Bombyx mori: one gene and its partner. The protein of the gene in region 1 interacts with the protein of each later gene in a pairwise test. Links are inferred from orthologs where the notes say so. Each region holds a gene or a part of one and is shown on either strand. Other genes may lie near its edges.

Region 1 (3,759 bases):
GTATCCATGTCCATACCGTTACCACCTAGACCAGCCGTGTACTCGTCCTTTACTAATCTACTGGGTCCAGATTGAAGGGACAAGCCGGATAAATCTGGAAATACTCCTTACTATAAAGGCTGATCTATACAAGTATAATTTCTTAAAGAGGAATAATAAACTTGTTACAAATAACATCCTGGTTAAAAATAAATTTAATATTCACTCTTTCATCTTGGCCAGGCGTATGCCCAGTTGATGTTTATAGGTTGATAATGATGGTGAGAAACTCATACTTTACATTACCACTGAAATTTAATTTATACATCTATTGCATTGATTGATGAACAAGGTAATGGCTCACATTGTGTTAAGTAGATACCAAAGGCCACACATCACAATGTGAATTCCGCTACCCAACCTGAGATATGAGGTGAAAGAAACTGCTTCATGGCAGAAATAGGTAACAACTACCTTTCCAGGCTCATATTTTGCCTTAATAAACAATACAAACTTGTAAGTTGTAGGTTTTATTTTTAGTACAATGTTATTCTTTCATCCCAGTTGTTCATGAAAATGTGGCAAGTACATAAGTTTGTGTAACTATGTTACAAAATGGATGAAACCCCCAGTGAGAAGAGGCTATGTTGGAAACTCTTCAAATCCTTCAAATTTATCCAATGTACCTACTTGTAGAAAATAAATTTTAATTTTAACATTTTTATTTCTTATAATCCCATTATTATTCTACATAACACTGAATTGATATTTTATTTGGACATTATTTCAGAGTTGACTGCACCAATACTCATATTGAGATAGACATTCACAACAGGAACAGAATGACAATGTAATTAAAATATGTAATAGTATACTTACCTATACCAGGAGAAACAACTCTTTCATAGTGGTATGGATTAACACACACAGAGTCACACTTTAAATCAAATGCAAATTGACAAAATTTAACATGTTTCAGTTCATTTTTATGTAAATCTGGCCACCTCCATATTCGAGCATAAATTACATGAGGAAATCCTTTCCGACCAGCAACCTAAATAGAAAAAGTTTTATGAGCCTTTTGCAACCTAAATATGAACAGTTAATTAAAATTAGGTTTTTTTTTTGTAACATAAATTTGATGCTATTTTTTTTAATTTGTTTAAAGTACTAAGCATAGATAATTTCATAAATTAAGAAATCTGCCTATTTTTGTGTTTTGTATGAGTTTTTTATTTGAGCACTTTAATGAGTTTCATTATGTTTAGACTTTAATGATTAATATTATTCTAGACTTTCAGTTTTACCAGATTTATAATACTATTCTCTTGGATTTTCACTAATTTTGCTGGCGAGTAGAACATTTAACATCAATATCATTGTAATGAATTATTGGATTATAATAATTGAATGCTAATGACCATGAAAATTGTAAAATTGATTTTAAATGATGACATAAATTTATAAACTACCTGTAATCTCCCATCTAAAGTCCTCTGTATAGTAACACATTTACTAGGATGTGCACCATTTGTAGTTATAGCTGTGATCAAAGAGTCAAGCTCATCTCGTTTTTCTTTCAACTTCTTGACCAGAGATTCAATGGCTCGTTTAGAAAATCCTTCGCTCTCACCACCTTGACGGTGGCACATCAGTGAATGCACAATGCTGAGGCATGCATCTGCCGATGTTGGTGCTGTCGTATTCATGGCTACAATGAAGACAATAGACATAAAACCATGTTATTCTGTTTCCTAACATGGTTTTATTTGTTATATACCTTATACATTATTTATAGATATATGTATGTATACATTATTTATGCATTAAATTGTTGGTTTATTTATTGTACAATGCATCTATCTTTTTAAAAGAAATATTTATAAAAGAATATAATGTAAATAATTTAACATAATAAATAATATGTTTAGGTTATTTTAATTTAGTAGAATTTGCTACATTAATACACACAAATTAAGTTCAAATAACATTTTTAAAAAACTGCTATTTACTCAGGTGTAATGGAATGGTTTAGTTTCACACCAAAGTAGTTCACGAATTTTCACATAAGTATTAAATCAATACACGTTAGTGATAACTTTAAAGTAATTACACTATAATGAGGCATCCAATATCAAAGGAATTCTAAGAACTTGAGCTTTTTTTACTTCATTTATGAAGCTACTTTTAACTTTAAGTGTTTAGATACTTAACTAAATTACCTAAGGTATACATATATGGCCCAATAATTTTATGCATCAATTAAAATAAGATTAACTCAAAATACAGTTCCAAAATCGAATTATTAGCTGTTTAACTCGCACCGTGATCATGAACTTGAAATATTATAAATTTAAGATTACCTGAAACTTCTTATGGTATATCCTTCCTTTTAAATTTTCAAAAGCAGACTATTAATAAGTCGTAATTCATTGATTGCTGAATAATTTTTCTAATTTTTTATAATGCGACATGATACCAAAACAGAAAGCGACATTTTGAATAATCATAAACTTTTGGATATTTTTCATTCACCTAGATAGGCAAAGGCAAATAACTAAAACAACCAAAACTCATAGACGAGATAAAAAAATATATTGGGCACACTTATAAACATTCAATCATTAAATATAAGCTTGGCACTAATTTAGAGTTGTCGCATGCAAAGCACCGGAAATCGTAACAGATAAATTTCAATAGCGTATGATACTTTGGAAGTATTTTACATTGCACCGAGTGGGTAAAATTGCTGGGTAAACAGGCGCGGCGGTCCGAATGTTTTTGTTCGGAATTAGTATCTGCGAACTAATCTGAAAAATATTCCTAGCGTCCGATACATAACTCCCGATACAATACTTTAATGAGAAATAAATCATTCCCACTAATCGCACTACAGCCTCTCACATTAAATTAACAGAAGCCTTTACAATCTGTAGTTCCCACGTCAAATTCACGTAACAGAGTAACAGATTACATATCATATGGCTCAATTTATGGAATTTATTATCATATCATTCACAAATTTTCTTAAGTTTTTTCCTTAAATCTTCTTGATTTCCAATCTGTTATATCTTTTTAGCGCAGACCTATGCAAAGTTTGCCATGGGACCTCATCTTTGTCAACAATTTCGTTAGGTAGGTCATAAAAAGCACACTTAGGACTCAATCTGACTTCAAAAGTTTCTTCAAACGAAATTTAAAAGCAGTCCTTGTCAGTCTACTCTACTGCAACTTAAATAGTAATAAAAAGTTTCTCGCGAACAAGGAGTGTAGGCTCAATTTTCATTTCTAGGATCATAAAATTTTCACTTTTTCTTTCTACTAATTAGTCACGTAAAATATGTAGCTTCAGCTTTGATAATCTAGTGATTAATTAGTTTTTAAAGTTTAAATATAAACTAAGTTCACATATAATAATGTTAACAAAGCTTAAACTTTTATGTGCGTTTGCAGAATTTAAATTCTAATGACTTTGATTAAGTTGCTTCATTGTAATTTATGAAAGTTCCAACAGTGATTCCAACTTATTGAGAACGAAACACAGAACACTATTACTTCTAACGAAGGAACGAAACGTCACACATCTGTCGAGTTGGGCGATGACAGCAGTTTTTGTCAAATTCTCAATTTTAGTTTCAACGAATCTAACAAAAACTTATAAAAATACCTTCATTTACGTAAAATTTAGTTTAAAACCATACATACATTGCGTACTTTATAAATAACAAAAACCAAATACGTCAATTTAGTGTGTGTCAGTAAAGTGGGTGGTTTCCGTTC
Region 2 (3,759 bases), on another chromosome or scaffold:
AGCCTAGAGGAAGCCAGGGGATCTTGTAGTCCCTTTTGGCGTTACTCACGGGTAAAAACGGTGTGGATATACAGCGGCTAAACGGTGTCCAGATAATAATAATTGCTTTCGTATTTATATCTAACAAAATTTACGTATTAAGCAGACTTCGGTTCCGGCGATCCAAACAGAGACAAAAATAAAGGTTTGAATACACTATAGGGTGAGTTGAATTCCACTTCTCTGCAAGAGCGTATTCTGCAAGAGCTCCTCAACACATTCGTTGTTTTCGTTTCATAAATTTATAATGACGAGTCACTAGGACGGTTTGCGGTAATCTTTTTGGCATATTTTAATATCTTGTTCGATGTAACGATGAGTTCGTCCTGATCGATGCATCAGTTGCGTTGGATTCAACCTTCTTCCGCCTTTCGAAGTAAGTCGATTAGAAGAGGAATCTAAATTCAATTTGCGAAGAAGTAGATTTAGAAGTAGTAGTAACTGTATTGGCTTGAGTCACGCACTCATCTTTAGCTAGGTGTGAAGACAGAAAATATTGAGATTGTATTTGCCAAACTGATGAACGAACTTACGAAGTGAAATAGATTTTTATACAGAATTTCAATAAATATTCGAAATATTGGTATCGGCATAAGGTTCCGCTAATCGTTCATGCAGCGGCCAATTTCGGCGTGAATGATTCGCCGGCGGGTGCTTTTGTGTCTTGTTCCCGATTCTAATTGAAACTATTTTGGACATAGGACAATGCGGCATTGTCCGCGTGTCCGACGGTGTTTGCTGCCTTTATTAATTCAGGTGGGCGTGGTCGCGTGTGGGCGGGTCGCGAGGCGGGGCGTGTAGTTTGGATCGTCCCAGCGGCGCAGGCCGAGCGCCGGCCGACTCTGAGGCCGCGTCGGTCCTCAGTCGCTCACTTGGTGCGACGTCTGGCACTCATCTTTGCGACGAGATCGCACTAACTTTTCCACATTGTTTACGAGTTGCTTTCGCACTATTTGCGATTCGATAAAACTTCACGAACGAAATATCTTAAGTTGACAGTGGTGTGTGACTTCGCTGTTCGTGGTCAGCCGACTGAAGGCGGTGTAGTCTTCTTTTACCAACTTTGACAAATCTTTCACCGCCCCACGTACACGCCAAGTAAGTTCAAAACATTTTTATTTATTTATGTGGATCAAAGGTGTGTCTGCGTTTTTTATATGATACAAAGATTTTCAGATGTGACAAAAGATTATTATGTAACAAAATTCTTCCAAATAATAAATAAGCACTTAATAGAAATTTCAACGTATGTAATATTTAAAAAAAAATTGTTTGATTATTTTTCTATAACTGTAATATGTTATTGAGTGTTTCAATAAAATTATCATTTTTTTTTTTCATTTTAATCAATTACATAAGTGTGTAAATCAGAGGAAAAAATATATTTTAATGTGATGAAGAAATCATATTAGTTGTTACACAAATAAAAAAAACTAATTTGTTTTCCAAAAAAATTTGTAAATTGGTACTAAACATTAATGATAAATTACATACATCGTTGATTAAAACTAGTTTTGTGTTGAGATAAAATACTGGCTTCGTTTAAAATTCATCACGTCGGAGTTCTGTTGGTTTAAAAGACTTGTACTTTAAATAATAAATTGATTCGAGTCATGATAATGCAAGATTTATACGCATTTTTAATAAGGTTATTAATTTTTTAAATTTCATAGTTTTCGAAATAAGAAGCATTAAAAGAATCATCGAATTTTCATCTTTTAAATATATCGTACCTGCTTATTGATTTATTTTTAAATTAAAAAAATCCTATTGAAATTTTGAAAATTTGTGATATTGTAAAATTGTGTGAGTTACCTCAAGAAATTGTATTTTTAAGGATATTCAAGACGAAGGACACAATTTCATTAAATCATCGAAAAACTATAGTCTAGAGATCGATAATTATTATTATTAAAACGATTTTAAAAATAAGTTTATGCTTCTCATATAGAGAAATAATTTCCCGTCTATTTCATTAAATCATGAAAACTGTACAGTTGCTGTTATTAATGATTGAGTTTGTGGTCATCGATCGATGAGCACGGAAGACTTCATATTTTTTCCAATCAAATACGCATTTAATTCTTGTTCACCAATCACTTCTACGATGACAAAATAACATTGTGTAATAAAAGTTAAAATTTGGGAGCCTGCACGGGTTGCTATCACCACCCTAGCGATTTCTATAGCGAAACAGTAATACGTTTAGACTTTAAGGATGAAATAGTCGCTATACTTCATTAAGATCGTGCCTCAAGGTGGGTGATAACCAATAACCACTTAACACCAGGGGCATTGCAAGTTCACCCATCTATATTTTTTTATTTTATTAAGGCGAACAAAAAACGAATTGATCAAAGCTGAAACTACGGTTTTGAAAAAGCTTATGCTATTTGAAAACAGATCCTAGCAAGCATTACGTTTGTAACTGAACCTTCTATGTGGGGTTTAGTATAAGCAATAATATCACGAGTATTACCTTCAATCACCACGACATATTAAATATAAGCAATAATATTACCTTCACTCGTCGCGAAATCTTACTAAAAGCACGATGTATTGAAAAGTCAATTGGAACTGTCGTCAGCATAAATTAGAGGCAATTCAAACTGAAACAAATCAGTCGTCATTGGTGCCGTAATGTTTTCCTGTCGGCTGATAAAAATGTCCGCCCGCCTAAACCGTGTACCGCTCTAGCGGCGTCGCGACGCTCCCTGGAGTTCGAGCTAGGGTTGCAATTCAGCAAATCATTAAAAAAATCACAACACCAAAAATTTCATTAGAATTAAGACATTTTTTATATTAATATACTTTATGGTGGCAGAGAATCTTTCCCAATCCAAATTATTGAATATGATTCGTGGTTTTAAACGAAAAAGAATTGGTACAGAATAATTTACGCTTGAATCTTCTATCATAAGGAATAATATTAAACATCTCTGTTTGCCTCAATATTCCCGACGTTCAAATCATAACAGCCACTTTTTTTAATCAATATTTATATAGCGGACTTCAAAAGTGCATACATAGACCGTGTATTAAAAATGGTATGAGCCCATTTTTAAAGACATCTAGGATAGTTGCCTAGGCATAAAATATCAATACGTGTTCAAAAGAAACAATAAATCTCTATATAAGTATATAAAAATGAATTGCTGCTCGTTAGTCTCGCTAAAACTCGAGAACGGCTGGACCGATTTGGTTAATTTTGGTCTTGAATTATTTGTGGAAGTCCAGAGAAGGTTTAAATGTAGATAAATATGAAAATTCTCGGAATTAAATAAAAATAACAAATTTAGTTTTTCCTTTGATGTGTGTGTCACTTCGGACGGATTCCTTTTGTTTGTTTTAGGTATATTTTATACAAAAGTTTAAAGTACTTAAATTATTGCCGGGTCAGCTAGTATGTAAGTACTTTTTTTGTCTTAGTTTTTATAATCTTAGTATAGAGATTATTTTAAGAACGTTTTGTGTTCAATACAAAGTGACAGCCCTGCGGAAATCATCGCTGACAAAGTCGGTTCCGTTTTATTGGCCCGCGATCTTTTTATGGCAATCGGCGGATCGTTTTTCCATTTCGATTGGGATACTTCGACTCTGCGGTCTCACTCCACAGATTTTTTTGTTACATTTGTTGAGAAAGTGAATTTTGATGCGTTCGTTCAGTATTGGTTGATTGGTTTTCGAAGCCGTGATTTTTTTAGTTATCTATGGCTACCT

Evidence for each region.
Region 2: the proteins of mothers against decapentaplegic homolog 4 (region 1) and LIM domain transcription factor LMO4 interact in binary tests that used the Homo sapiens proteins (3 or more experiments, as listed by UniProt). The link is inferred for Bombyx mori from reciprocal best matches to the Homo sapiens genes SMAD4 and LMO4.

The regions. Positions count from the first base shown.
Region 1 is NC_085113.1:9,087,942-9,091,700, forward strand, and holds the start of mothers against decapentaplegic homolog 4, read right to left. Parts: upstream 2,501-3,759; 5' UTR 2,343-2,500; intron 1,691-2,342; 5' UTR 1,689-1,690; coding exon 1,452-1,688; intron 1,034-1,451; coding exon 859-1,033; intron 95-858; coding exon 1-94. UniProt on the Homo sapiens protein: In muscle physiology, plays a central role in the balance between atrophy and hypertrophy. When recruited by MSTN, promotes atrophy response via phosphorylated SMAD2/4.
Region 2 is NC_085110.1:5,592,518-5,596,276, reverse strand, and holds the start of LIM domain transcription factor LMO4, read left to right. Parts: upstream 1-901; 5' UTR 902-1,137; intron 1,138-3,759. UniProt on the Homo sapiens protein: Transcription cofactor. Plays a role in establishing motor neuron identity, in concert with MNX1, acting, at least in part, to disrupt LDB1-LHX3 complexes thereby negatively modulating interneuron genes in motor neurons.